Neurospora crassa OR74A: one gene and its partner. The protein of the gene in region 2 interacts with the protein of the main gene of each other region in a pairwise test. Links are inferred from orthologs where the notes say so. Each region holds a gene or a part of one and is shown on either strand. Other genes may lie near its edges. The genes, in order: NCU03591 and NCU08067.

Region 1 (15,442 bases), on a different chromosome or scaffold from region 2:
AAGTAAAAAAAGTTTCTTCCTTACAAATTCTAGAAGTAGGCAGGTTAAACTTATTTTGTACATCTTTAATAAAAGCCTTCTTCGGAATTTTAATTGAATGTATACGGGGGAGGGGACTACTGAATTCTTTAATATAAGGGGTATTAAATAAAGGACGGTTGGATAGATTGGGGTTATTATTGTTAGTAAGGTTGATAAAGTTAAATATATTATAAGGGGCAGCGGTTTTATCTTTGTCTTTATTTTTATTTTTATCCTAGCTAGGACCGATACGAATAGTAGTAGTTTATAAATTATTAGAGGAGGTAGTCCGGATGGGGGATAAATTTAAGTAATCGCTGGGTATAGCCGATTTATTATTAATAATACCTAGGGCGAAGTAAAATATAAATTTAGCATAGTTATTATTTATAATATAATAGACTTTATAAAACTCTATATAAACGTTTTTAAACTCCTTTTTAATATCCTTATTATAGGTTTAGTCTTCTATATTTTTCTTAGTAAAAAGGTTGTTTATATATTAATTAATTAAAATGATATTAAATTCGGCAATTTTAACCTACTTTTTAGAATCGCCTTCAACTTTATTAAATTGAATTTAAACTTTCTTATATATAATACGCTTAGGGACTTAACTAATTTCAACTTCCTTATTATCTTTATCGTTAGAACGATTAAGGGTAACTGAATTACGGACGTTATAAGTAAGGGAGCACTTAAACGGGGATTCCTTAATAGTAGGATAGAAGTCAATGGGTAGGATTATAATTAATTAGGAAGCTTGTTTGGTTATAGCGTATATAAATTATTTAGACGCGGTACGAAAGGGTAAACTAGAGAGGCTATTAGTAATAATCGAAATAAAATTACTAATAATATTGGGATTTTAAGTTATATCGCTACTAGTAATTAGGGGTGTTAATAATTTACGTGGGGAGTAACGCACCGCCTAAGGAGGGTCTTTAGCAATTATAGTAGTTAAAAGGAAAATCTATCTACAATTATAGGTATAAAGGTAAGCGGTATAAAATATAATAGGAGGATAAAGGAATAATTATAAATTAGAATAGGATTAATTATACTACGAATTTATTTTGTAATTAGTAAATTGTAATATTCTTAGGGAGTAAAGCTATTTTGTAATGAACTATATAAATATTACCCTTTATATCGAAGTTTAAATAAAATTTGGATTGGGGTAGTAAGGTATTAGAGTATTCTAATCGATGCGAGCCGATGCGAGTATAATAGTATAATGTAGTAGAAGTGCGGGGTAAAAGGGAAGTCTATAATGCTTATCTTTCGACTAGTAATTTGTAGACTTAAATGGGGGAGGTGTGATTGTAATCGCGGGGTTAATATTTTATAATATAGAATCTAAATAATCGATGTAAATTTCTGAGAGTCTACCGAAATAAAATTAATTGCAATACCTAATAAAAGGCGCAATTAAAGGATAGTGTAGTTACTATTCGTATAATTATAATTATTATATAATAGGGTAACCTGGGAGGCTTTATAATACTAATGTAGTTATAGGTAAACTATAGTATTGAAAGTAAAGAAAGAAGATGTTGGAGGAAGAAAGGCGTAGCCGAAGGCCGTGCTGCGCGGGAATCCCTTTATAGGAATTCCAGCGCCAAACTAGTACAAGGTTACGTGCCTGCTAGAGCCTTCTACGCAGGTAGGCACGTAGTCACGTGCCTACCAGAGCCTCCAACGAAGGTGGGTATGGGTAAGCTATGCCCAGTCTAATCTAATCAATTGAGTAATTGTACATATGATAACGGTACTGTCAATATTCCCGTATCAACGAGCGATATATAATTGAATGAGATCATATGTAACCTTAGGGTCTCTACCGGGTCTATCCTAACTATTAATATATAATATAATAACAACGTTAAGGTTTTTTAGGGTAAAGAGCAGAATCTTATTAGCGTTAGTACGCTTGGTCTACTAGGCGTTATACTTATTAGCGTCCGCTTTATTGGGCTCTAGGACTATCTTAAAAATATATTCGGCGAATTGGAAATAATTAAGCTCGGCTATAAGGCCTTAATACTAGTCGGCGATGTTTTGGTCGCTAAGGAGGGGAACTAGTGATGAATTAGTAGTTGTTGTAGGTATAGGAGGGTTTAATATATTAAGAAAAAGAAAGTTGGTAGTCGTTAAATTAGCCGTTAATTAATTTAATTAATTCGATAATAGAATCGCTTAAATCGCTTAATTCGATAATAAATAAACCGATAATTAGTCCGTTGAATAAATCGATAATTAATTCGATGGGGTCGCTATACAATAAGTATTAGTAAGAATCTTTATATAGCGAGGCTAGCTTATGGGCGAGCGGGCGAGTCGTTAAGTCGATGAAGGTTGCAGTTGCTTCTTTTGACCCGGTGCTGCAGCGCCTTATTGAAGTTGACAATGCGCTTGATGATGCGCTTATCGTTTGTCAAAATGCGATTACAGGGAAGGTTAGAGAGGGCTCATAACCTGTAAGACCATCGAAATTAAGCGGTTGGATACGATTAATTGAGTATTATGGAGGAGAAAGAGGGAGACTAGTAAAGTTTGGAAGGCTAGATATGGTGCGGTCTGGGCAGGGCACAGAGTGGGGTCTGGGCCTAGTGAATGCTGTGCTCAGTGAATGCTAGAGACCCACCAACATACCTACTGTATAGAATGCGAGGTTGTACACACATATGTACCTAGGTACCTACCTGTGAGGTACTGTAGCAATCGTTGTAACCGTTCGGTCCCAAAGATTGGATTTAGAGGGGGATGGACCACGAATGAGCTGAAGATGAAGCGATTGGGATGTCAATTGAAGGGTGATATTGGAACTTGGATTTATACAGATCGCGGATGGCTTACCAGAACTGAACTACTCTCCAGGTCCAAAAACAATCCAAGGTTGGTTGTCATGCCAATACTGTACAGTAATTGCCATGTTACGAAACGGCGGAGTACGGTATGTGGTGGAGGTTCGGTTGTTTGGTTGGGATACGTACCCGTTAGGTTGTGCATGGACACAACTGAAGGACCCTTGTTTCCGTGTCCTTCTTGTTAGCTGTCACATGGATGGCTCGCAGCTGGTTATCTTCAGTTGGGTTGTCCATCACAACGGGAACCCCTTCCACCTCCCCTTGTGCCCGTCGACAGATGTGTTTTGCGCAACCTGATCGGCTGTGATTGTTCCATTCGAATGTGATTCAAGAAAAAAGAGGTTGACTTGTCCTGATTGTATCATCCAAGGTCAAACTGACAGGTTGACAATGCGACGCCATAGGTAGGTAGGTAGGTGGCTCGAGCGTTGTGTCCCCCTCCCGCCCAGTTCCCAACTCCAATTCCCAAGTCCCAAACCCACATAGTTTCCCCAGTTGTAGTCCCAGCTTCCGGGGGTCCGGATTCCACTTGGGCACTTAGAGACGAAGCGCCAAATGCGGAGGAGGCTGGAGTCTAAGAGTAGTGTACAAGTACTGCGTCAGACACAATCAAGGGTCTTCTGGTCCAATCAAAGTTGTAATCGATCTGAAGGCGGGACAGAAAGCGATAAGAAACCGCAACGGTGGGAGACACTTCCTACGATGAGAATATAATGTGTTGGTGATAGGCATCAATGAAGAGGTCGTGGTGGTGATGATGCTGATGATGACGAGCCTCGAAGCCCACAATGAGGTGTGATACGGCCAACATAAGGAGTTTATACATCTGCCTGGCCGGAAAACAATAATGTTCAGTTGCTTCGAGATATCGATGTGTTACCGGCTGTTTAGTCGATGGGGATTTTGTGATGTATAATACAGCCATCTTGATGCGACCTTCCCCTTCGGGCCTTGCCGTCTTACATAGCTTCAGTCATGTTCTTTTGACTCGGCAAATCAAGCCCGGAGCACCAGTCTAGCGTAGTGGAAGATGAATTTTCTGGTTTGTCAAGGACCAGTCCCAGACCACAAGAAACAAACGATACATACTGAAAGGCCACCGCTTGTTGATTCCAAATGATCACAAAAAAGTCTTTCAATTGACAACTGGCAGGTCTAAAGACGAGATCCATAGCCCCACTATCAAGGCTAAAAAGCCCCCCAAAAACACTAAAGAGGTGTCCAATCGACCCCACCGGCGTGCCGGGCAATTGCTCATCGCAACAATACTGGAGGGTAGGTTGCAGCAGGCAGACCTCGCGCTGACCACTCACCCTCATCCACAGCGGGGAACGACAGGCAACTTCAGTACGGCGAATCCCAGCCAAGACCAGAGAACCAAGGCCCATCCCGTCATCCACCCACGACTGGAGTTGCTTGCTTCTTATCCAACTTAAAGTCGACCGAGTTCCGGAAAATTCATTCCTCTCGAACCTCGCTCGCTCTCGAGGAATTCCGTCTTCCTTCGCCGCATACTTCTTTAGCCCGCCAGAGAATATCAACCTCTCGACGGCCCCAACCAACCCTCAGCCGGACTTTGCGACAAAACAGCAAAGTTCCGACGTCTTTTTTTTGGGCTGTATCACCCGCTGTCCCGAGACATCATCAACGTCCAGGCCATTGGAAAAAAAATAAAAAAAAAACACACCTCCTCTGTCTCCAGCTCGCTCGCCACACGAAGGCGCTGCTGAGCGCGCGAAATGGGTTTCGCTCAGTGCGGGTGGCCGATATGGCGGACCGACGATTTCACGCCATGTTTCCAGGAAGAGTATGTCCCAACAACGCCATCGCCAGCTTTGCGCTTATCTTCCCTCATCTTGACCACCGCCGACCGCTAACAAACTTGTTTCCACAGTTACCTCAAGATCCTCCTACCATTGATCGTCGTAGGGCTGTCCCTACTACGACTTCTCACCTCAAATCTCCTCCGAGCTGCCAAGCTAAAACCGAACCACGGGTACGATCGCGTCGCCGATAACGAGCAGGACCGCACCTACTTACCCAGAGACGAAGAACCGGTCGACGAGAGTGACGAAGATGAAGCGCTGACTATGAATGGCGGCCGCCTTGCACTGGCCAAGGTCACTACCAAGGGCTCCATCGTGCAGGCTGATACTCCTGCCGGTCAAACTGCCCTTACCGTTATCGAAATCCTCGCCATTGCCGGTCTGGTCGGTGTCAATGTTGTCGCCTTGGTTCTCGAAGCCTACAGCGGCCATCACGGCAAGATTGCCGCCATTGCTGGTCTCAGTGCTTGGACCTATGTCCTGATTCTCGCCGCGCTGCGTCTCATTCTCAGAAACACCCAATGGCGCGCATCGCACCTCTGGAACCACACGGCTGCCATCTACTCTGCCCAGTGGCTGTTCTCGCTCATTGGCTTCCGCTCCGTCATTGTCCATCCTGCGACGCAGCTCAGGCAGACTTTGACCATCGTCGATTTCGCTTTGACCTCGCTCCTCTTCTTCATGTCGATCAGCACACGCAAGGGAAACAAGACGGTCATTCTCGAGTGGGAGGACGGTATCCAGCCCAGTCGCGAGAACTTGGCCTCTCTCTTCTCCCACTTCACTTTCGGCTGGGTTGACTCCATCATGTGGGAAGGCTGGAAGGAGCCGTTGACTGCCGACCGGGTCTGGAATTTGCTTCCAACTGACAAGGCCGCCACCGTTTTGGCCAACTACCGCCAAGTGCAGAAGACCACTTCGCTGGCTTACCACCTCTTGAGCTACTTCAAGGGTATGGTTGCTGCGCAGGCTGCCTGGGCTATTATGTCGGGCGCCTTCACCTTTGCACCCACCCTGCTACTCAAGGCTATCCTCGAATATGTTGAAGACCCGACCCAGGCTCCCCGCAACGTTTTGTGGCTCTATGTGATCCTCCTCCCTATCACTGATATTGTCCGCTCTGTTGGAGACGCTCAGGCCCTCTGGATCGGTCGCAAGATTTGCATCAACATCCGTGCTATCCTTGTCGGTGAGATTTACGCAAAGGCGCTTAGAAGAAAGGCTGCCGCCGGTAACGACAAGGTTCTCGGCGAAGACAAGAAGGATGAAGCTCCCGCCAAGAAGGGTTTCTGCGCAAAGCTCAAGCGCGCTTTGGGTCTTGCGAAGGATGACAAGAAGGCTAATGATCAGTCTGCGGCTGAGACTGCCGTTACAAAGGCCGAGGATAAGGCCGCCGAGGCTGATGAGCAGGCCAATCTGGGAACCATCACTACCTTGATGTCCGTCGACAGCTTCAAGGTCTCTGAGGTCACTAGCTACCTTCATTTCCTCATTGCCTCGGCTCCTACACAGCTGATTGTAGCCATTATCCTGCTTTATAGCGTCATGGGCTACAGTGCCATCCCTGGTTTCATCATCATGGCTCTGCTCCTTCCTGTCAACATTGGCTTTGCCAAGAGTTTCCAGTATACCCAGAAGAAGATCATGTCGGCTACTGACAAGCGCATCCACACCACGAACGAAGTCCTCCAAAACATCCGGATCATCAAGTACTTTGCTTGGGAGCACAGGTTTGAGACCATTGTTGATGAGAAGAGACGGGCAGAGCTCAAGGCCTTGCGGGCTCGGTACATGGTCTGGGCTTGCGCAGTAGCTGTCTGGAACACGGTTCCTATCCTCATCACCTTCTTCACCTTCTTTGTCTACACCGTCATCGAGAAGAAGCCGTTGTATCCCTCCATCGCCTTCACCGCCATTTCTCTGTTTATGCTGCTCCGATATCCGCTTGACCAGCTCGGAGACATGATTGCCCACGTTCAGGAGTCCAAGGTGTCTGTAGACCGTATCGAGGAGTTTTTATCTGAGGAGGAGACCGAAAAGTACAAGCAACTGGGTCAGGACAGCGTTGACGAGAACGGCAACAAGATTATTGGTTTCAGGGACGCCAGCTTCATTTGGGGCGGCAGGAACACTGTTGCTAAGGACGGAAGCTTGGCTTTCCGCCTCCTTGACCTCAATATCGAATTCCAGCAGGGCAAGCTCAACGTCATCACTGGCCCCACGGGATGCGGAAAGTCCTCTATGCTTATGGCTTTGCTTGGTGAGATGACCATTCTCAAGGGTCGTGTCTTCCTTCCCGGAGGCCGCAGCCGTGAGGATGTCCGCCCCGACCCCGAAACTGGCCTTGCCGACACGTGCGCCTATGTTGCCCAGCAAGCCTGGCTTGTCAATGGTTCTATCAAGGACAACATTCTTTTCAGTGCACCGCTTGATGAGCAGAGATACAAGGACGTCATTGTTGCTTGCGCTCTGGAGCGTGATCTGGAGATTCTTGATAACGGCGATGAGACCTTGGTCGGTGAGAAGGGCATTACCCTCTCCGGTGGCCAGAAGCAGCGCATTTCGCTGGCTCGTGCCGTCTACTCCAACTCTAAGCACCTTCTTATGGATGACTGCCTTAGCGCCGTTGATTCTCACACCGCTCAGTGGATATTCAGCAACTGCATCATGGGTCCTTTGATGAAGCATCGCACTTGCATCCTCGTATCTCACAACATCCCTCTCTGCGTTCCTTTCTCCGACTTCGTTGTCCAAATGGCCAATGGTCGTGTTACTGCACAGGGCTCCCCTCAGGAGCTCATCGCGGCTGGCAAGTTCGGCGAGGACCTCGCCCAAAAGTCCTATCCTGGCTCCGCGCATGTCTCTCGCGTCCCTTCCCGGGTTCCGTCTAGTGTCGGAGAGGAAGGTGACCACACCATGATCAACGAGGCCGACGGCAGTGAATCTCAGACTAAGGCTCAGACGATCAAGAAGGAGCACAAGAAACAGGATGCTATGGAAGAAAGCAAGGCTACTGGTGCTGTTAAGTGGCCTGTCATGAAGCTCTACCTTACCGCTATGGGTAAATGGTGGTTCTGGGTTTTATCCGCGGTTGTTTTTGGCGCTCAGCAGTTCTCTGGTGTCGCCACCAGTCTGTGGATCAAGGAATGGGCTAACCAATACGCTATGGACGAGGTTGTTGCACCCACCTTCAACATGAACTCGCAGAGCTATTCCAGCCAGACCGTCTCACCTACCTACTTTGCTTCGATCGCCACCTACATCAAGGGCAACGACAGCAACACTTTCTCGACCACCTCGAATAGTGATGTCAACGTGGGTTACTACTTGACCATGCTGGCCATCATCGGTATCGGTGGCGCCGTTGCTGCTTTCGCCAGGGACATGTGGATTTTCTTCGGTTCCTTGACTGCCTCGTGGAAGCTCCACCAGCGTCTGATGCGTGCCGTCGCTGGTGCCCGTTTCAAGTTCTTCGATGTCACCCCTCTCGGACAGATCATGAACCGATTCAGTAAGGACTTGGAGGCTATTGACCAGGAGGTTGCGCCTATTGCTATTGGAGTCATGAGTTGTGTCCTCGGAATTGGCGTCACCGTTACTTTGATTGCCTGGATTACTCCCGGTTTCTTGATTGCCGGTTTCTTCATCACCATCCTGTACGTTTTCCTTGGCGCCTTCTATCTCCATGCCTCGCGCGACCTGAAGCGCCTGGAGTCCGTGCAACGCAGCCCTCTTTTCCAGCAGTTCGGAGAGACTTTGAGCGGTGTCGTCACCATCAGAGCGTATGGTGCTGAGAGACGTTTCATTCGGGAAAACTTTGCCAAGATCAACGCTCAGATCCGCCCGTTCATCTACCTTTGGGCTGCCAACAGATGGCTCGCTTTCAGGACTGATGTTCTTGGTGATCTCGTTGCTTTCTCTGCTGGAGTCTTCGTCATTCTCAGCCTCGGCAAGATCGATCCTGGTTCTGCGGGTATCTCTCTCAGCTATGCTATCGGTTTTGCGGATAACATACTCTGGCTGGTTCGTCTTTATGCGATGAACGAGCAGAACATGAACTCCGTTGAGCGCATCAAGGAGTACCTTGACGTCGAGCAAGAGGCCGTGGCTGTTGTTGAGGACAACCGTCCGCCTGCGAACTGGCCTGCCCACGGCTCTGTCGAGTTCATCAACTACACTACACGCTATAGAGCTGAATTAGAGCCCGTGCTCCGCAACCTTACCTTCAAGATTGAAGCCCACGAGAAGATTGGTATTGTGGGCCGTACTGGTGCTGGAAAGAGTTCCCTGACTTTGGCCATTTTCCGTGCTCTGGAGGCGGATGAGGGCAAGATCCTGATCGACGATATTGATATTGGTCTGATTGGTCTCCGTGATCTCCGTGAGGCTCTCACCATCGTTCCTCAGGAGCCTACGCTCTTCATGGGTACCATCCGGACCAACCTCGACCCCTTCAACATGTACACTGATGAGGAGATCTTTGCCGCTCTTCGCCGCGTGCACCTGATCAAGGCTGATGAGGTCATCCCTGGTGCCGTCAGCACCGCCCTTCTTCCTCAGACCCCCGTTGCTCCTGAGAGCGAGTCGGAGCCTTCTCGTCCCGCCACTGCTACCAACAAGAACATCTTCCTCGACCTTTCCTCTCCCGTCACCGAGTCCGGCAACAACCTCTCGCAGGGTCAGCGTCAGCTTCTTTGCTTGGCACGCGCCATGCTCAAGAAGCCCACTGTTCTCGTCATGGATGAGGCCACCGCCTCGATCGACTACGCCACCGATGCCGCCATTCAGGAGACCATCCGCGAGTTGACCAGCACCATCATCACTATTGCCCACCGTCTGCAGACCATTGCCGACTATGACAAGGTCCTTGTGCTGGACAAGGGCAAGATTGTCGAGTACGCACATCCCTGGGAGCTGATGCAGAAGACCGATGGCAGCTTCAGGAGTATGTGCGAGATGAGCGGTGACTACGACACGCTGGTCAAAATCGCCAAGAAGGCGTACAAGACCAAGCAGTTGGTTGATATTGATGAAGAGGATGAACAGCCGAGCACGGCTACCACTGCTGAGGGAAGCGGGACTGGAGATGAGGGAAAGAAGGATGGGGAAAACTAAATTCCTCTTGGAGATGCTGAAAGGAAAGTGACAGATGCAAGTCAAAATGGGATTAAGTCATGTTATAAAATGGCCTGATGGATCATGGAGTATGATTCAGAAGGGTATAGACCAACGAATGATGAGATGGAAACTCGGGATGGAGGGGGTGTCTTTTTTCTTTCTGGGTTGGGTTCAGGATGATGGAGGAAAACAAGAGCGCATATTTCATTTTGGTGCTTAACACATTTGCTTTGAGATGATAGACATCATCGACAGCGGGCATGGATGATGTAGTGTATATACAGAGATCAGAACTACGAATATGATCGCTGAAACCTGTGTAAATAAATGTTGGTGATGGCGACCGAACGAAGTCCATGGATAATATGCGCCACATACTATGTACCAGTAAGCCACCAAGATCCACTTTTCTGCGCCAACTCCCTATCCCCCGTTCCACTTGCTGTGGCGTCACGGTTCAACGGTTACTTACCATAGGCAGGTGTCACTATCATCCCCATGCTCATCTTGCTACAGTACACCACTTGGCGACTTACTTTCTCGGAGCCCCTCACTTCAACAAAACAACAAACCCATCTTTTTTTTTCTTAGTTAAGAACCTTGACAAAATGGTGCCTACCAAAGTGGAAGAAATTGGCAACCCGCGCCGAATCCTAGCCGTCGCCCTCACCGACTCCTCAGACCATCTCGGTGCCGTCATCAGAGGTATGCCATGCCACCTCATGTTCCTTCATTCTGCCCTTCTCCCCTCTCATTACTACTTCCCCATATCTTTCCCATTCTCGCATACATAACCAACCAGCGCTTTACCTTTTACCACCACTTTCTCTTTCTCCCCCCCCCCCCCCCCCCCCCCACCCCCCTCTCAAACATTTTTATTTTTTTTATTTTTTTCTTCCCCATTAATTAACAAATAATAGACCTAACCGGCACGGCCCCCACTCCCCAACAACAACAACAACCACAACCACAACCACCCTCACAAGAAGAAGAAGACGAAGAAGAAGAACAAAAAGATTCATCAGAACACACGGCAACGGAACCTTCCCTTGCAGGAATCACTCACCACCTCTCTCTCTCTACACCTTACTACACTGCATCCATCCCCATCTGGCTAGACCTGATTTCTTCGCCTGCCGACTGGTCAGCGAGCTTTTTGAGCGAGGAGGCGAAGGAGGTGCTGGGGGTTTTGGGCGGGGTTGTTTGTGTTTTTGAGATTCCTTTTTCATCATCTGGGTCTTCTATATCTTCTTCTTCTTCTTCAGGTGGTGAAGATGATGCCAAGGTGAAAGCGGCACAGAAAGAAAAGACGAGGGAGTTGATCAAGGGGGTGGGCAAGGTGGTGCGGGAGGGACTAGGTGGGTGGGAGTGGGAGGGTGTGGGGTTGGCTGTTGGCGTTACGACAACAACGGCGACGGCGACGGTGTCATCAGATATCGGTGGTGGTGGTGATGGTGAGACTACTTTTGCTGAAATGGACGTCGACATGGAAGATGAGATTAATGAATGGGATGACTTGTGTGCGGAGTGGGGGTTGGAGTTTGTTCATCATCGGGTTGGTGGCGGCAACAACAACAACAGCAAGAAAGGGGAGGAGAAGAGAAACGAATTCGGCGAAAAGATGGGCATCGCGCGAGTCCTGGAGGCACTGCAGTCTAATGACTGGTCAGGCGGAGACGGCGACGAGGGCGACAACAATAACAACAACCACAATCGTGGGCTGTTCGACGAGTCTGAAGACGAAGAGGACTACGTTGATGAACACGACGGGGATGCTGAGGATGAGTTCGATCTTGGCTTTGGGTACACCAAGAAGCAGAAAATGGAAATGCGGAAGGCGTTCCTGAAGGGGGCTGAAGATTCGAATAGGACGGCGGAAGAAGACTTGGAGGCGTTGAAGAGCGTGACGCAGACAACAGAAGGGCAGGAAAAGGCGACGAAGAAAGGTGAGGAGAAGGGGGAATCCGCTGCTGTTGCCACAGACGTAGCAAAGGCTGGACCGAGCGCTGAGTCTGAGTCTGGGGCAGACAAGGTAAAGGAGGAGGAAGAAGAGATAGGAGAGGAAGATGTGGAGAAGATCGCCAAGATGATGCTCAAGTTGCAAGCTGTTAGGGATATGAGCGGCACAGTACCGGAGGAGCAAAGGAGGAAGTTGGCGTTGAAGGCCGTCGAGGAGGTTATGAGGGAGTTGTGATGTCGATCAAGATATGGCACAGGCAGACGCTTCTCGCTGATAGTTTCTGTCACACGCAGTTCATCAGGTCGTCAACTACATCCGCCTCTCCATGTTCAAATGTCTTTGTGGCCACCTGTTCGCTCCCCAACCTATTTTGCTACGATACTTCGCCGGGCTATGAGGTAGTGGTGCAGAGTTTGAAAGAATCGTGTCACCGATACTGGATTTCCGTAATCGCAAACTCACATCGCCAAAAACTTGCAACCAGACCATCACCTTTGACCCATCCCCACCACCCCAAACGCCCTGTCCAACTCCTCGCCTTGATCTGGCACCGCCATCTCACTTGGACCCCCATTTCCGTGCCCCAACCCAAACCCTTGCCCACCAAACCTTTGAGTCAACCCAGCGATACTGCCATCCTTCCCCCCATTTCCTCCCTGCTGCTCGTCACTCTCACCATCTTGCGCATCCAGCAAACTCCCTCCACCATTCCCTCCTTTGGTGGAGCTGGAGTTCCCACCCTTCCGCTCCGGCTCCAACAACCTCGCCTCACTATCCAACCACCCCGGCGCCACCCGTCTCTTCTCAGCCAGCTCCCTTTTCTTGATTCTCTCCTCGAAAGCCTTCAGCTCCGCGCTGGCGTCAGACTGCAACTTGGCGACGTGCGCTTGTAGAGCTTGACATGAGGCGATGATGTCGTCTGGGTGGGCGGCGTGACCGGACGCAGGGGAGATGATGTATTTTGGTTTGTTGTTGGAGGACGCTGATGCTGTTGGGTCGCCTCCTTCGGATTGGTTGGGGGTGTTGACGCCAACGCCGGATGGAGAGGGCGGGAGGGCGCTTGGCATGGGCTTGTAAGTGTAGGGTAAAGTGACGGAGGAGGGGAGGGAGACGAAGGGAGAGACGGTTAGGGGGAGTTGTTGGAGGAGGGGATGGGTTCCTGGGTAATGAGAGGGGGTGTTAGTTAGGATGTTGTTAGGAGGGAGAGGAAGGATGGGAAAAAGAAAACAATAGCGAGGGGGGAGGGTTGGGGGTGGGCGACTTACGGTTGTCGTGCATTTTGAAGAGTTGTGGTAGGGGAATTCTGCGAGGCTGAGAGGTAGAAGTGATGTTTCAGGCCGGACGAAGGACCTTGAGGACTGGGACCACGACGGGTGGCAGAGGATAGATGAAGTGCTTGAGTACCGTCTATCTGAGGGCTCAGGTTGCAGTACTTCGATGTGATTGCAATAGTATCTCAATCGAGGTAGTTCCGCCTGTGTCGTGAATCTATTTCGAGGTTCCTATCCGAGTCGAGGGAAGCGATGTTGACGTTGTTGAACTTGGATGCGCGGGGATGTTCCAGTCTGGTGCAGTGGGCGATGATGAGTGTCGATGGAGCTACAGGGGTCATTCCACAGCGGGAACGATAAACTGATAAGCCCCATAATGGAGCAAATCGGACCCACTAAAAGATATGTAGGTCGCCCAGAGCCCCAGAGCTTCTGGAGCTTTAGCAGCTTCACAACTTCAAGCTCGCAGAGGTAACTTGTACGTAATTCTACACCAAAAAACACAACCTTAACAAACCAACAAAATGGCTCCTACCACGATCCGAACGCCGCCCGCTCTTGCGGACTTCAAGCCTCTTGAAGAGCACCTCCGGCAAACTCCCGAGACATTCTTTGGCGGAAAGCCAGTCCTCTACTACCATGCGACCGGCGCAAAGGCCTGGATTCCCAAGTCGCAGCGCGGCAGGTTGCCCTTCTTCCCGGCCGACCTCGAGGCCGAACCTACAGCTCCTGAAAGTGCCGCTTTGAGTGAGGGTGCTGAGGAAACCGTTGAGCAGAAAGTTGATCTCTACGTCAACTCCCAGTATGTCCATGTGCTCTCTAACCGTCAAGGTCCTCACGCGCTGGAACAAAAGTTGACAACCCCACCCCTCCTCTTTGCAGAAACCTCACGATATTTTCACCTTCCGCCGAAGTTGGCTTTGAGATCCCCTACCCCGTGATTAGCATTCACGCGATCAAGACCATTGGCACCGGCGAAACAAAGTACCCCTCCGTCTTCCTCCAGCTCGAGCTCTCCCCCGACGGCGGCGCCGACGACGACGACTTTGAAACCGTCGAACTCACCCTCATCCCCCAACCTGCTCCTGCCACCGAATCCCAACAAACCGAAATCGAGGAGGAGCCAACAATCGGCAAGAAACAACCCGACAATGAAGCAACAAAACTTTACAAAGCCATCTCCGCTTGCTCCGATCTCAACCCCGACCCCGTCGAAGAAGGCGACGAAGACGAAGATTACGACGATGACAGGATAGTCTTTGAGGGCGATGCCATCGAAGGTTTCCAGGGCGTGTTTGCGGGGTCGAATTCGGGAGGTCTGCCGCCGCCGATGCCTGGTAGTTCCGGGTGGATCACGGCGGAGAACGTGCACGAGTACTTCGATGAACAGGGGAATTGGATCGGTGGCGAGGAGGTTGAGATCGAGATCGAAGGAGAGGAAGACGGTGGCGTAAATGGAGGAGAGCTTGGAGAAGGTGCTGGTACCGTGAGGAGGAGGGAGGATGTAGAGGATCCGGCTGGTGGTGGAAGTGGAGAAAAGGAAGATCAGGGTGAGAATAAGAGGGCTAGGATTGAGTAGGGAACTCAAGGTCAAGCGAAAGCGCCCAGTAGACGCCTGTGCGTTCCGGCTGTTGGAGTGGACATGGCTAGGACTGGGTACAATGAGCTTGGTATACTTCTGGGGATGGTCGTTGGTATCGGTCTGAAAAGAGAGCGAGACGAAAGAAGGTGCATCAAAATTCACAATCAGCGTGTTACGTACGGGCGGGCTTAGTACTCATGATTACTGAAAATGATTGCCGGTGCGTGAGTCTTATACCTGATCCGTGTATTGACATATCCGCCTGGTTACCTACCCCGTAAACTTTGGTAACAAACGGCGAAGCACTTGAAAGCAGGGCAGGCCGCTGCCTTGTGATAATTCACCGGACGTTTGCGATATGCCCGTCCACAAAATCCACAAGACTTTACGATCAGGGCACATTCAAGTTGTCCAACCCTTTTTCCTTTCTTCTCCTATCGACCTCAAATCAGCATTTTGAGTCCGCGATGCTCCAATTCCTGCACCATCAATCTTGCCATTCTGTGTTCTGCTTCCTCTTGTTTCTATTTGATCTCTGCTCACCTTTTATTACCCTTTTCCTCCTTTTCTTTCCTCTCAATACATTCTTCTGCATCCTCGCTATTTCTCCCTCTTCAACCTGCCTTTTCCTTCCCCCCTTCATCCTTCATTTCCTCCGTACTTGCTGGTGTTCTAGGCTTCATTGCTCAAGATGCCACTTACAAGCAATTTCAACCTGACACCATGCTACTATGCCAATTTGATAGACTGCTTCGCTAAGTCAATGTCAACGTCCACGTCCACGTCCACCCAGC
Region 2 (15,802 bases):
CATAGGGTAGTGAGTGGCCATTGCAGCCTTGCTGAAGATGAGGAGGCGAGTATTGCTCATCATGGGCTGCAAACTGGTTCTCGTGGTCGTGGTCACAGCATCCTTGATGCGCGCCTTGTGAATACGTGTCTCCCTCGTAGCCTTCTTGGTCCGGCTGGCCTAGATCGCCGACTCTCTCTTCCCGAGCGCGATATTCGTGGATAGCTTGGTTGAGCTTTGCCGTCAAGTTGGGAGTTTCGGAACGACCTCCGCCGTTAGATGCCTCCGGGGTGTTGCGGCCAGGAGCCGGGGGTGAAGCCGGGGCGGAGGCTGGGATGTAAGCCATGATGATTCTGGGAGCGCCGCAGTCACTCTTTTCGTTGTCGTTTTTCCCATCTTTCATTGGTTCAGTAGCGTTCTTGACGTCGGCATTGTTGTCTACGTTGCCAGGTTCCTTCTCGGATGTTTCTTTGGCAATGGGGGTATCCCCTTCTGAGACCCTTTGTGGCTCCTCCATCCCCTTGACACTTTGCTTGAGGTTTGCCTGTCAAGCAGGTGTCTTTGCTTTTCCAGTTCAGGGTTGCAAAGGGAGGTACCTGCTGGTCCTGGATTCGCTGGAAAACGTATGGGGAAGCCAAACAACTTATACCTCTCAGTGCCGCCAAAAGGCTAGCAACGAAGGACCGATTACCAATGTCTGAATCACGCCGCGTGCTATTGTAGCGTCTGCTGTCATCATTCACTTGGCCGACTGGCCTATTGTCCATCTTCCATCTATTCATACGACACCGAACCTTGACCACATTGAAGGCTGGAGCTCGTCAGGTTATTCGTGGGCCCATGGGTAGACGGTCGTGAACCCAATGCGTCAACCACACGGGCAGGTCAGGCGGAAAAATGGCCATCGGAACACTGTGGGGACTTGCCTCCCGTGTGATGCCCGGTCCAACGCGCCGATATTGCTCATTGATAGCAGGGTTTGCCGGCGGTGTCACACTGTCATGGCTGTTTGCTAGACGCCGGAACCATCTGGAGGCTGCTGGGCTGACTGCGGGCACGACAGGGTGTTTGACCAAAATTGAAGTTGATGGGATCAAGGAAACTGGCTTTTTATTCCCCGCTTGGAGCGTTTGTTGGCGACCTAGTAGTAATTGGCAGCAAATTTGGGTGTTGTTGGTCAGGCACGAATGAGATGAAGTAGAAAGGAAACATCGAGGGGATTTAAATACCAGCAGTTCTGGGCCCCAAAGGAAGAAGTGCAAGCGATTCTAGCCATGCAGAAGTGGAATGACGTGGCGAGGCTGTCGATACCCTGCCCTGACTCACGACGGTATCCTCTCGAGACCCCTAAACCATGCATGAGTCTCTTGACCCGGTGTCCAGTTCGGCACATGGGAATAGACAGCTACTGTGTCCGTCCACGACCGTGGCGGCCAAGCCGTCCCTCCTTTCCAGATCCGTAAGCATTCTGGTACCGCGGGTTCGTTTGCGGGTGTATAATGCCGTTTCCCGTATAAACTTCCGTCACAGCACCGGCCCACCTCCCTGCTGCTCCAACCTCATCCTCAACTCCCTCTCCTTCTGGGCCACCTCCATCTCCAACCGTTCGACACTATACTTGAGTGCCTCCTTGCGCTGCCTGACCACTTTGGCTCTCAGCGCAGCCTCCCCATTGAGCTTCTTCCCCCCACTTCCACTTCCGGCCTCCTTAGTACCACCACCCTTCTTCTGTATGCCGCCTCCTGCACCACCACTTTTCTGTTCTCGATTGTAATTCGACAGTCTCCCGCCATTGAGCTCACACCTGGCCTTGAGCGTCTCCACCCTCCTACCTTTTCGCTCCAGCTCTTTGTCCACCCTCTCCAGCAGCAGCTCGATGAACGGGCCGATTTCGTCGCGTAATGAAGCTTCGGCAGCTTGTAAAGTCGGTTGGGGGATCAGTTCGTAGTGCCGAACAGTTTTGAGGACAGAGGAGAGTCGGGGGAAGTCGGAGGTGGACGAGTCGAGGAGGGAGAGGGAAGAGGAGAGGAGGTTGAGAGAGGAATGGAGAGGCGGGAGGAGGGTGGAGAAGGAGGGGGGTGGTGGGTTGTAATTGTAGTTGTAGTTCATCTTGGTGATCGGGGTGGACAATTCTGGTCCGACGGTTTTTGAATAAATCTCTAGTCGTGACTAAAGAGGCTCGCGACTTGGAGATAGGGAGTCTGCGCCGGCTGTTTGGTGGCTTGGGGATTGTGGGCTGGTGCTCTCTCGCGGTTTGTTTACTTTCGGCGCGGTGGTCGTTTGTCTATGGAAATGGATCGCGATTTGGTCTAGCCCAGTTGGATATGGCGACAGTCCTTGTCTGTGTTCGAATGGAGATATGCGGATAGTCGTTGCCCCGTGTTGATCTGGGGAAGCGAAGAGGCAAAGATGAAGACGGTCGGAGGGGGAAAGTGGAAAGCCGAAGAAAAAAAAGACGATCCGTCGCGTTTCTTGTCTTCGCGCGTCATAGGTACCTACCTAACATGCCGCCTAGACTTAGTGTGTATGTACCTACTGGGGGAGCCTTCCCGATCCCGCTGTGGGGGACACTGCAGCCCCCTGAACGGTGGACCCTTTTGGTGGGACAACCCGTGCACTAACCTAACGGCTGCCCTGTGGGGCTGTTAGTGCCGTGCCTTGCATCACCCCGCCTTCAGATTCCATGTCTTCAACCCCATCTTCCGTTGTCCTGATCTTCAGCTTCCGCCCTCCCAGATCCATCTCCCCCCAAGCAGTGCCGTACTACCTACCACCGTTTTCCTCTACTTCGACCCTTCAAAACGTCCTCAACTATTCGATCACAGACAAGAACACGAGCTGGGCAAAGCAAGGTCAACTAAACGAGCACGACGAGAAACGTAGGTAGCGAACAGAGTCGTCGTCGAGAGAGCTGAAGAGCCACGCTTCCGGCTTCGGATGATTCAGACCTGGCTATAGGCGAATCTTGAGATACATAGGTAAGAACCCAGGCCGAGAAAGAATGGACACCTCATCGATGTCGAATAGTCAAGTTTCTTGTGGTGGAAATTGTAAACATATGGATAGTAAGAGCAATATGACGAGAAGGAGCACAAGCGGCCTACGGAGGAAGATTGGCACGATGGGTACCATCAGAACCAGAGCGGTGACGGCGTAGAATAATACCTACAATGAAACTGGGTGCGGAGATGGATGAAGCTACGTAAGTTACCAACAGAGAGCAACGCAATGAACTGGGGAAATACCTCTAGAGTAGAGATGTCAGTTCCTTGGACGGGCATGTTTGCAACCAATCTGCTATTGCTTTAGCGGACTACTACAATTGTAACAAACTACCTATGTAGTGTACATTCATAGCTGTCTTTGTCACTAGGTGGCTGGCTGTTTCCATGTTGGACCATAACAATGTAAGCAATATCCCTGTCCGAGATGTGATGGACATGGGTAGTGGTGATGAGCGACCTGGAGCGAGGTTAGGTAAGATCCTCGCATCTCCACACCTTCGCTCCTGGCTAATTTCGATAATCTCGGATTTTCCTCCATCATGAAGATTGGAAATTGGCGATTGAGACCCGCAAATTGGGAGGCAGCCAACAAGCTCAATTAATCATCGGACTCGGTACATTATCGATATCATGATCAAGCGGACTGTGTCTTCATTCTCTACAGGTAGGTAGTTCCAACATCCCCAACTCCGGCCGCTGGATGTTCAATTGCTGCTTGTGGGTACATCTCCTTTTGGGTTCACAGCCTCCATCCGTCCGTCCATCTTCTCTCCGTTCCTCGCCATGCATGAAATTCGTAAAAACAGCACCCATTTCCATCTTCCCCCGCTTTTTTGTCCTGTTCCCTCTTCCATTGCCATTCTCCAGTAGCGGCCTATCCTCTGCCGTAGCTGCCGAACGCAAAATAGAAGACATGTAAAGTTGATACAAGAACTAGTGTAACACGAGAAAGGAAAGACATTGAGAAAAAGGGTAAGAGAAGATAGAAAAATGACATTGCAAGAAAAAAGGGAAAAAAAACTCCATTTCCACCCAAACCTTGCCCCGTCCGCATCCAACATCCGGTTTCGCCTTCGTTTCCAAACGAGCCACGGTTTTTGGTGTGTCGCATTACGAGTCCCGTGGGTGGTCGAGAAGAAAGTGTAACGTTAATGTGGGTATAAAACGCCGACTCAAAAGAAAGATAGATAAAAGAAAAAAAACCACTTCATGATTTTGTTTTGTACTGGCGGTTCACACGCCAAATCCTCTCTTTTCAAAAAGACGAAGAAAAACCTCAACTCCATCCCCGACCCATTCAAGCCCGCTCATAGCAAAATCAAGTAATTGCTCGGCGCAATACCCGTTTCTCCATTCTCCTTCCGTGCCTGCCACCACCGCCCGCTCACGTCGCTAATCTCCAGCACCTCATGCTTGGAGAAACTAATCTCGTTGGCATCGTCCGGGTTGGCCTCATAGCTGAATATCGCCTTGGCCCTGTACGGGTACTCCGTCGGCGGAACGATCTCCCCTTCTCCTTGCGGCTTGGGGATGTTGTTGGACGAGAAACCCTGGGGAATCTGCGACTGGCGAGCGGGGTTTTCGAGCCCGTTGAGCTGACCCGTGTACATTTGCGGAGGCTGGAGGCCCGAGGCCGAGGTTTCAGGGCGCATGTTGTAGGAGCCGTAAGCATTGGGAGAGGAGAGACCGTTGTGGTTCATGGTTTGGCGGCTCATGTGATGCGCAGGGAGGGTGGATTCCTTGGTCAGCGCAAAGGAGTCGATGTAGGCACGGGGAACAGCCGATGGGGCGGAGCCAAAGTAGAATATCCAGATGATCTGGCGGGACGTTAGCAAATGGGGTCAGCCAGCTGGGGGAAGTTAGCGGGGAACCGCATACCGTCACCATGGACAACAAGATATACCCAGCCGCTGTCGCCTCCATGGACGCAACGCCACTGTAAATCAGGTTGTTGATCGACGACGTGGAGCCGACCAGCCCGACGGCCAGGTAGCCAACGATGGCGACATGGTAGGTCTGAGCGCTGTCCGAGGCGATGACGATGAAAATGCCGAGAATGAGGAAGAAGTTGAAGACGAGGGTGAACCAGCTGTAGGTTGGCCAAACAATGACGGGAGCCCCATTCGATCCGTCATTTTGGTCCCTAAAGCCAAAGATGGATCCAAACAGGATGATGATCCATGACAGCTGTGGTGATTGTCAGTTCGTGAAGGCGACAGGACGGGAAAAGGGTGGACGCCAGCGCGCGCGCGTATGGAAACTCACAGTAGCAATAGAAGTAGTGGCCAGAGCAAATGGGTCACCAATAATGTTGCCCATGTCTATGCCTTTTCGGCGGTACGAGTTCCTGCCGTGTTCCATTTTGGGGTTGTTGAAGGACGGGGGATAGTTAACCGATCCTCCGTACGATTGCATCAAGGGCGAAGGTCGCCAAGGAAGAGCGTCCTCTCGGGATATTCGAGGTCCGTGTTATAAGTGATGGACCGACGTGTGTGGGACACTTTAGTTGACGCACACCTTCACTTGGGGTATAAGATGACGGCGAGGGGCCGTGTGTGTGTCGTATTCCGGGGACCAGTCCGCGGTTGGTAATGCGATGTGTTTGTTCTGCAATGACAGATGCAATGTCACGAAAAAAAAAAGAGAGGAAGTTCGACGGCGACAAGTGGTCGAAGTCGAAGCAAGAAATTCGGGTCGGGTAGCAATTGTCGTTTGCTGCAAGACGTTGAGCGAGGAATTCGGTGTCCAGCAACGCGGTATGGCTCGTCTCGGTCGTTGCAAATATGGGTAGGTAGTAATTGGGCGATGTATGGAAATGAGTCGAAGGTAGGACAGTTGCAATGTTATTGAAAGATTGGGTGGTCGCTGTCGGGCTGCTCCGTCGGGTGTTTGTTGGTTGGCAATCCGCAAAGAGGAGGCTGAGTCCAAGGGAAGTGGCCGTCGGGTACTCCAAGGACACTCAAGACGAGGACAGAGCCTTTGAATCTTCAGGGGAAATAAGCAACGAGTCGGTCGCACGGGTCGGGAGATGTGACGGTACGGTAGTTGTCCGTTGGAACGAATGGCGGCGGCGGTACGGTATGGGTAGATACGGTAAACACGCAAGATCAATCGGTAGTTGGAAGAAGGGCGGTAGAAGAGTCCACTGGAAGTCTGGAAATGGTCCTGGATTCCTTTTTCCTGTTTTCTTTCTTCTTTTGTTTCCCTTTTTCTTTGTTTGTCCGGTGTATGACGGTAGTCGGGTGTGATATCTCGGTACCTGCCAACGTCGTATTGTACTATCCCCCCGTCTTGTTCCGGTTCGCGTTAATAAAGGGCTCAGCTCAGCTCAGGGTCGGACAATCGTATGCTGTCGTCGTCGTCGTCGTCGTCGTCGTCGTCGAGGTTGATGAGGTTGAGGGAACGAAGGGAGCGATTGATGGATTGAGCAAATTGTTGTTGGACGTGGCTGGGGCGATGATCAACGCCGGCCAATGGAGAAGTGAAAGGGAAGAAAAATTGAAGGAGGGAACGAACAGAAATGAGGGGATCGCACGGGCAGGACGGACGGACGGGGACGTGAAAAGGGAAATGGTGTGTGTGTGGGTGTGGGTGACGACGGCTGGGTGGTGGTGGGAGATCCGGAATGGAAGGCCAACGACGGGGCCTGGCTGAGGGACTCCGGGGCGGGCAGCAACCGGGGGGGGATGAGGTGGCTGCTGCTGTGGAAACGAGTGGACGAGACCGCGCAAGAGAAGTGAGGAAGGGACCAACAATGGAGCCCACTGAATCCACTGAAGATGGGGGGGAGCCATGTCCGCTGTGGAGGCTCTGGACTCCTGGAGTGCGTTGCCTGGCGGCTGCTCGCTGCACAATGAATGAATCCTTCCCTTGCAGTGACATAGGTACAATGTCCGGGCAACACGCGGCAACACTGCGAACGAGCCAATCGCATTATTGCATTTGCTGGGCTAATGAATGCAATGTCCAGTCAGAAGAGGCACGGTCCTCAATCTCACTGCAAATCGTTAGGCCAAGACATTCCAGGCGCTGCTTACCTACTGTACCTCTAGCGGCTGTGTGGGGACGGGAGCATGGAGCAAATTAGAGGTACACAGACACAGGGCGGGCTACTGTAGCAGCTCGATTTCTTTTTCTGCACTTTTTGACAGTCTTTGTAGCTGATGGTGGTGATTGATGGGGAGTCATACCTACCTAGAGGTAGACTCTGCTTGGGTGATTAACCTGTTCAAAGTGAATGATGGCTCTAGGGTACTGGGTCATGGCCAGGACATCTTTATTTTTATTCTTGTTTTCTTCTTCCATCTTGATATATCTTACCTCGACACTGTTCAAACTCATAGTCAAAAAGTCTCAAACATTCACAACATTGTAACACTCGGAAGTCAGTCAGGCAGCTAGCCATGTGGCTTGCGTCTGTGCTCCATTCACTCATTGCTAGGTCGTCCAGAAACATCGTGACCGACTGTAAATGATAGGCTGAGAGCTGGCTACCATGCGACATCACTCAGCTGAGCTCGGTGACGGGCAGAAAATGTCAACAGAGAGACGGATTCACCATGCCACGAATCCACACCCATGCAGCATGCAGGCAGGGGCTTTAGGCTCGCCGCGTGAGTTCTAGGGCAACGCCGTTCGTTTCGGAATCCCATCTGCAGGAGCCAAACAATCACTGCCGGCTATCAAGCGTGTTTGTGACGTTTGTAAAAAGCCTCTCCCGTGAATTCTCATTCCAGATAGAGCGCTACCACAGCACCGTCGATCTGGTTTTTGTCGGTGCTAACGGCGAGCAGAGTGTTGATATCGGCTGAACATTCCAGTGGGCCAAAGATGACGCCCGACTCCCGCGCATCTGTCGCGTGATATCTGCCGCGCAATGACATCTGCCCCATTCCCTTGGTCACTAGCATTGTTCTCGTACGAATGTGCCAACCACTGTTGATCTGCTCTTCACACTTCGTAAAGTGCACGCGCGCTACCAACGGCGTGTCGTATTCCATACGCACAACCCCAGTGATTTGTTCGCGGTCGCCTAACCTGTTGATCAATCGTGACGCCGTTCTCTAGCGGCGGTAAAATGGCTTCCGTGTGAGTTTTGTTTCCCGCAAGCCAAAATCCATGCTCCTCCGCTTCACTAGCCATGTATCGCATAATCTTGTCTCGAACCTCCTCTTTGCCTTCTCACTCTATAGCGGCGTCCATCTCCCTCACCCTCTCCGCTCTCCTTACCCTCAATTCGCACTTTTCCACCCTCGCTTCACCCTCCGCCACAAACTTGCCGTACCCCAGCACCCTCTTCTCATACCATGCCTTCATCACGGCTTCGCTCCTCTCCCTGAGCTCCGCTATTTCCGCCTCTTGCGCCAACTGCATGGCCTCCAGTCCCTTCATCCGGGGTATCAAGCTCGCCAACTCGGCCGAGAGTTTGCTGTCGGGAATCGCGGATTCAATGGTGTTGGCTGGGGCGGCTGCAACTAGGGCGGACGCGGTCTGGGGAAACTGGGAGGCGTAGGAAAGGACTGTCGCGAGAATGGCAGCAGGCGGGAGGTCCGTTGGTGGGAGCTTTTGATCGGCCGAGGGGGAGGTGTGGAAGAGTGTGGGGTTGGCTTTGTCTGGTTTGGGGCCTCTGGTTAGCTTTGAAGTGATGCGAAATGGAAAGGTGGGAGACAGAGAGGGACGTACGAATTTTAAGCAGCTCGGCGTACACGCGAAAGCGCCGAATGAGCAGATTGAAGCGGTGTTCAAGCTGGGCAAGAGAGGTCGTTGCGGAGGAAGAGGGCGCTTGCGTTGGAGGGTCGGAGGGGCCGTAGAGGATGTGCTCGATCCGCCGGAGACGGGATTCGAGGAGGGAGATGGTGGCTAGAGACGTTTTGTCGAGGCTTGAGGTTTCCTGGGAGACGTCCATGGTGTTGGTGGGCGAGTTCTGTTGGTAATTGGGGTTATGCGATGCGGTATCGGTGGTATCGGTTATACCCGCCTCGAGGGGATGTCGCAAAGATGAATTAAGATGGTAAACAGAAGCTGAGCTCAAGCAGTGGCAATTGTCCAGAGGAAAAAGAACCTTGACGGCGCGTGTCTAGACCGATGACGGGTCGTGTAAGGCTGTAAGGTAACATACCGTTCAATTCAACCCCGCCTCCGCATCCCGGACACCGCCCGTTGGACAGCGACTGGTGCCCGGACAACACAAGGCCCTGCTCCTGGACAGTGGAACACTGAACAAGCTACCTACCACTGTAAACTCTCATAAGGCTGGAGCTTGGCTTTTTTGATCTTGTTATTTCAATGACCCCCGATAGTTCACCGCTGATCCACCTGGAAGGCTTCTCTTCCCCTGAACGATCTTGTTTCACTCGTAAATTACACTCGTTGGATGTTAGTGCTGCGGTGTGGAGTTAGTGACGGAGTAAGGTACCGAACCCGTAGGTACCTACTATGTACAAATGTGAAACAAAAGGCCCGTGTGACTGAGCAATGACAGTGAGCTTGGCGTTCGCGGTACCTTTTCTGTAGAGGTAGCTGACACCTTCCCTGGAACCCCCATCGAATCCCCAGAACAAGGAAGACCCGTCATTCCCGTCTGTGCTGGCGCTGTTCTCCATTGCCCACGTTGCGTGGATGTCCTTGTCAGCTCGCTAAAGTTGGCTTTTCTACTTTTCTTAACAAATAAAGTCTCGTCATCATCATCGATCCCTTTTTTTTCTTCCCGTATGAGTTATCGAACACGCGACCATATCATCCATCCAACATCGGATCGAATCGCCCCCGAATAGGCACTCTGCTGCTGCTTTGCAGACTTACACTCGCTTTCCCCGATGCTGTGACTTGATGACAGTCGACGACAACTGACGGCGCCGACTGCCCACCATCACTCGGTACTTATCTTCATTGAAGCCTCGACTCGAGCACCTCATCGACCCCGGCGATTACGATCCGGTTGCGATACGTCGAATCCCCCTTCCTTCCGTCTTTTCGTTCCTGAAGGCTTTGGGCGTATCAGCACCGACTACGAAACCCATCACTTATCCAAACCAACATAACATCCCGCGACACCACGAGACGGTCCCCCGAAAGAAAAAGTGATATGACCAACTATCATACTATACCCAACAGCGGCCTTCTAGGGTCGAGTCACGGTGTCGGAGGAACCATGGTCCAGTACGTTTGCGCGACTACCTAGGTAGTTCCGGCTCTTCTGGTCGACATAGCTGACGGCGCAATGTCTAGACAACGAAGACTCCGCGCCCCCAAGCTGGGTGGCGGCCAAGCTTCCATGATGAGCAGCAACATCAACCTGCTGAATACCAGTGCGTCCCAAGACCTTCGCCCCCCAAAAAAGACATGTCTAACCGGGCAACAACACAGTCATCGGGGCCGGTACCCTCGCCATGCCCCACGCCATGTCCAAGTTCGGCGTCACGCTCGGCGTCATCCTGATCGTCTGGTGCGGCCTCACCTCTGCCTTTGGTCTCTATCTCCAGTCACGCTGCACGCGCTACCTCGACCGGGGCTCGTCTTCCTTCTTCGCGCTGTCGCAAATCACCTATCCCAACGCCGCCGTGGTGTTCGACGCGGCCATTGCTATCAAATGCTTCGGTGTTGGCGTGTCGTACATGATCATTATCGGTGATCTGATGCCCGCGGTGGCGGCAGCGTTCGGAGCGGGGAATACCGGCTGGGACTTTTTGGCTGACCGCAGGTTTTGGATCACCGTCTTCTTTGTCGTCTTTCTCATCCCGCTGAGTTTTCCCAAGAAGCTGGATTCGCTCAAATACACGAGTCTGGTGGCACTGTTTTCGATTGGGTATCTGATCATCCTGGTGGTTTACCACTATGCGGTGGATGACCATAGCGAGAGGGGCCCCATCAGGCTGGTTACGTGGGAGGGACCGGTGGCTGCTTTGAGCAGTCTGCCGGTGATGATTTTTGCGTATACTTGCCATCAGAATGTGAGTACAGCGACTCTGGCCCCCCGGGAGATTAGCCTGCTGACGTGCTCCAGATGTTCTCCATCGTCAACGAGATCAAGGATAACTCGCCAGCCAGCCTTGTCGGCGTCATCGGCTCCAGCATTGGCTCCGCTGCCTCGGTCTACGTTCTCGTCGCCATCACCGGCTACCTGACCTTTGGCAACGAGATCCAGGGTAACATTGTCAGCATGTGTAGGTATCCCCGATTTCCATCCCTCTCAACCAAGCCTAACATGTCCCAGACCCACAATCACTAGCCTCCACCATCGCCAAAGCTGCCATCGTCTTCCTCGTTACCTTCTCCGTTCCTCTCCAACTACACCCCTGCCGCGCCTCCATCGATGCTGTCCTGCGCTGGCGACCTGGCCGCTCTTCTCGCACGCAAAATGTCTACTCCCCACCCGGCTCCGGCAACCAACCCCTCTTGCCTTCTGGCGGTGCTCCTGGCGCTGCTCTCGACAGCCACGGCGCCCCCGTAGTCGCCATGTCCGAACTCCGCTTCGCCTTGATCACCTCGGTCATCCTGATCCTGAGCTACTTCACGGCCATCAACGTGTCTAGTCTGGATAGAGTGCTTGCCTACGTGGGGTCTACCGGGTCGACGGCCATCAGCTTCATCTTGCCTGGACTCTTCTACTACAAGATCAGCGACCCGGAGAGTATATACCACCAACGCCTCACCAAGGAAGACGACGATGCCGAGTACTCCTCCTCCTCCAGCTCATCGTCTGCTAGCGATGGGGACGAAGAAGAGGGGTCGCCAGGACCGTCTGGATCTGGGGCTGGGATGATGGACAGCATTGCTAGCGTGAGGAGCAATACCAGCGTGGGAAGCAGGCTGGCAAGGACGCTAAAGAGGAAGTGGAGGTGGGATCTGGAGCACTTGGAGACGGGGCTATTGAGGAAGATGGCGCTGGGACTGTCGATCTATGGAGTGATTGTTATGGTGGTATGTTTGGGAATGAACATTGTGCTTGGGCATGGGGGCCACTAGACTCCACGGTCCAGAAAGACGTTAGATGGGGTGTTGGAGTAGGCGTTTAGACGGGAATCTTGAGTTTGTGAGGTGGGCGATATCGGCAGATTGACATGCTATATACTCTGTATAGTTTGCGAGGAGCTGGCAGCATTGGGCTAGCCGAGCTCATAGCGATGGGCGTTTGGGACTTGGGATAGTTGCGTTTCTTGGATCTAAAAGCAGTGTAGGTAGCCATACCTACCTTACGCAAACGAATATTACATCTCTACCAGAGCCGCTCGCAGTACCTCACAACCGTATCGATTCCCCGTCACAAAGGTCCACGACGTGAAGGTACCTACCTAACCAGCGGTTACTAGTAGTGTAACTATGCAGCTAGAGGTGACGAACATGTGTCTCCACTCTAATTGGACCCCACCAGTTTTTATCATTAGGATCGTGATATTTATGGGCAAACCTCTTCCTCTTCTCTTCTTCAGACTTAAACAAATCCATCCACATCACCACATTCGTTTCCGCTCTTCTGAAATACCCCATGGGTCCAGCGATCTCGACACAGCGCAAGCCCTATGAACTCGACAACAACGACTTTTCATGAGCCAGAAACCAACATGGAAACATGGAAAGAGAGACGGCGATCGAGGCGCCAGAGGCACATTGCCCATTGCGTCGGTTCAGGCAGAAGGGTAACACTCGCCACGCTAGTGTTGAAAGAGAGTCTGAGGAGTTGGCTTATTTTGTCTGGCGTGGCGCTTTGACCACCTATCATTCAAGATAAACACCACCCCACGCGGACGACAACACCCTCGTCCATATGCGCGTCTAGTACGCTAGGCCAATCATGGGGGGCTGGATCAGAAACGCCAGCAAAGACAGGAATCGTCCGGCAACAGGGCTGCCCTCCCTCTCTCCGTATCTCCGTCTCGTCGCTCTAAAACCACCCACATGGCCGACCACCACGACGCCAGCCCGCGCAAGCGGAAACGAGCGCCCATCGAGGAATCGCAATCCAAGAAGCCCAAGCTCAACCTTCCGCCACGACCACCGCGCACCAGGTTTCCTCTGACAAGAGACGCATTACGGGAATTGAACCGAAGGAACAAAGAGGCTGCTCGATCGGCGCTGGACTCGAAGCCCAAACGACCCGGTTCCCCCGTTCCTCGACCCGCGGCTGCTGCCGACCTTCCTGCTCGCTCCGCCTCCGACCTCGAGCGCTTTGCCCGACACGGCGGCCCAGATCTGTCGGACTTGAGAGGGGTAAGTACACTACAGTGTGCTCGCAGTCCACGTCTAGTTTTCCTCTCCAGTCTACTAACCCTATAATGTATCACCAGTATCACGTACCCGCAGTCATACCCCCCATGAGCTCAAGCGTTTCCACCCTGCGCCGGCGGGTACGAAGTTCAGGCCGATCCAGAAGCAGGACTGCGACAGATAGTGCAACAGGTACTACGCCTACGTCTACGAGCAGTGCCAGGTGTGGGCCGTACGATCATGCTTTTCAAGCACACCTCTTAAACTTTGACGTCTATCTCCATCCACAACGGGTCCGCCAACGTCTCCCAGCACCGGACAACCTGGATGAAATCAGGCGGGCGTTAGCACAAGGACCGCGGCGGTCCCTATCTCCTTCGCGCTCTTTGCATACCGAATTCGAAGAGTTTGAGCTAGCACATGCGTGCGCTACCAACGAGAGAATGGTGACGGAGCATGTGATTCCCAAAATTCAAGGCAAAATTGGCGATATCAGGTGCATGGGTATGGAAGTACCCTTCAACAACCTTGACCACCTAACCGACGGCTCTATCGCCGATGCCAAACCCGATTATTACTACGGAGCCCTCTTGGAGCAGCTCGATGAACGAGTCCGTACCGAACTTGCAGGCAGCATCATTCCTTCTACCCAGCTAGAGCAACCCATACTACCCAACTTCTTTCTAGAAGTAAAAGGTCCTGTCGGCTCTGAAGTCATAGTCCAGCGACAAGCATGCTACAATGGGGCGCTGGGGGCGAGGGGAATGCAGCACTTGATCTCGTACGGAGCATCTGAACTCGTCTACGACAATAAGGCCTACACCTTGACGTGTACCTATCAGACTGGAACACTCAAGATGTATACCGCCCATGTCATGCCACCAGCCAAGTCAGGAGGACGCTCTAGGTATGTAACGACATTGGTCACTGGTTATTCCCTCGAAGGCGGTCCAGATATGTACCGGGCAGCACTCACGGCATACCGAAACGGGCGGGATTGGGCAGAGCGGCAGAGGAACGAGGCAATTGAGCATGCCAACATGAAGGCTCAAGTTGCTCTTGCGGGCGTCGGAACTGACGTGGGCGCGCCTGCTCCCCCGGATAACGATGACGGAACCCCGGGTCCCACTTCCCCGGGTAGCAATAACGCAGCCTCGAGTGCTTCTCCTCCAAATGTCGATAACACAACCTCGGCTCCTCCTCCCTCGGACAACGACACAGAAACCTCGACCTCGAGCCCTCCTCCCCCGGGTGGTGGTGATAACGGAACTTTGAGCTCCGCGACCAATGAAGCTTCTGGGCTTAGGCCTCGACGTGAACGGGCCCGGGCCAGCCAGCAAGACAAGACTCCCACAACCCGGGTGACCCGGGGCTCCAAATCCAGGATAGCGTCTTCCCCTGCTAACCAGTCCGATAGCTCGGTTAACAACTCTGTCTCTCCACGTCCTCCACTGGCGTCCAAGGTTAATAAACGCCGCCGTAAAGGCTCGTTGAGAAGATCTCGTAGATAACAACGGCAAATGCTACGCCGTTTCCAGGCTCTTGTTGATGGCAAGGCCGGGCGTATGCAGAGATGATGAAAATGTTTCTTGCTAGAAACGACGGCCTTTGTGGCTTGACCGTGACCCAATCCCTGCTTGTGAAAAATGGAACTCCCTTGATACACTGGATACGTCTACAAGGAAAGTAGAGGTAGTTCCGGACGTGTTAGAGAAGGAGAGAGCATAAATTTTGGAAAGGATAAAAGTAACTTTACGCATATTCTTCAAAAGCTCGATACCCAGGAGTTAGGAGCATTGGGCTGACGAGCTCCTGGGAGAGCTGAGTATCTTGGATTTGACAGCGGCGATGTACTGTCATGCAGTGGGATGGAGAGGAGAATGTGCCGTCAGACGTCCAAAAGGCCTTGATCGGTCGGTCGATGGAAAGGGGGCTACTACAAGAAAAACAAGCAGCTCCGTGCTTTTGCTACACCTACTTTGCGGATTTCCTGTTCGAGCTTTCAGGGTTCCGTCAGTGTCACTAAACCTGGTTGAGAAACACAAGGTAGAGTGGGGGGTTTGGTACGCAGTACAGCGGGACAACAGCCAATCCGTCTGGAAACGTTGGATATGACGTAACAAAGGAACGTCATACCAAGCCGAACCAAGAGCTGCCCCCCCCCCCCTCTTCCAGTTCTTTCCTCCAAAATACGAAAGCATGAAACAATTCCAATCCAATCGAATCGCAGCTTCCAAACCTTGTCATTCGTCGTTGTGCATTTTCTCATCCAATGTTTGTTTTTCCGTGGAACCTTCTTCCTTCTTTGCTGGTCTTGGGAAAGTCATGGAAAGTGGACTTTTCCTTCTTTTCTTCCGTCTTCTCCTCTTCTTCTACATATCGGCTGAGGAAATGTTCATGAGTTTAACTGGTGAAGTTGGTACCTGAACATCCAACTTATCGATGCCACCACCTTTACCTTACTTAACATAACCGAACATATCAAACATCCCATGATTCCTAGAGCACGCCCATCTCGACACACCTATCTCATTGAACCATTGCGCAGACCAAGCCTCCATCTGCCCAACCTGACGTACACGACACGAACAAAGCATCACCACCATGTCCGGCTA

What was found.
Region 1: the proteins of NCU08067 (region 2) and NCU03591 interact in a protein complementation assay, tested with the Saccharomyces cerevisiae proteins (2 studies listed by BioGRID). The link is inferred for Neurospora crassa OR74A from reciprocal best matches to the Saccharomyces cerevisiae genes SHO1 and YBT1.

What each region holds. Positions count from the first base shown.
Region 1 is NC_026505.1:1,740,308-1,755,749, reverse strand, and holds NCU03591 (ATP-dependent bile acid permease), read left to right. Parts: upstream 1-4,199; 5' UTR 4,200-4,630; coding exon 4,631-4,698; intron 4,699-4,785; coding exon 4,786-9,832; 3' UTR 9,833-10,249; downstream 10,250-15,442. Other genes in the region: NCU03590 (hypothetical protein), read left to right, coding at 10,444-10,540, 10,756-12,029; NCU03589 (hypothetical protein), read right to left, coding at 12,284-12,954, 13,061-13,073; NCU03588 (FPD1), read left to right, coding at 13,591-13,868, 13,949-14,645. UniProt on the Saccharomyces cerevisiae protein: Vacuolar class C ABC transporter which regulates the translocation of phosphatidylcholine to the vacuole lumen, the release of lumenal calcium stores, and acts as a negative regulator of vacuole fusion. Exhibits ATP-dependent bile acid transport.
Region 2 is NC_026501.1:148,876-164,677, reverse strand, and holds NCU08067 (osmosensor protein), read right to left. Parts: upstream 6,642-15,802; 5' UTR 5,400-6,641; coding exon 5,250-5,399; intron 5,172-5,249; coding exon 4,863-5,171; intron 4,802-4,862; coding exon 4,292-4,801; 3' UTR 3,562-4,291; downstream 1-3,561. Other genes in the region: NCU08069 (hypothetical protein), read right to left, coding at 1-523, 671-715; NCU08068 (mitotic spindle biogenesis protein Spc19), read right to left, coding at 1,504-2,088; ro-10 (RO10), read right to left, coding at 8,166-8,596, 8,667-8,889; NCU08066 (amino acid transporter), read left to right, coding at 10,069-10,142, 10,212-10,291, 10,350-10,933, 10,987-11,146, 11,197-11,948; NCU08065 (hypothetical protein), read left to right, coding at 12,879-13,190, 13,268-14,698; NCU08064 (meiotically up-regulated 190 protein), read left to right, coding at 15,792-15,802. UniProt on the Saccharomyces cerevisiae protein: Plasma membrane osmosensor that activates the high osmolarity glycerol (HOG) MAPK signaling pathway in response to high osmolarity.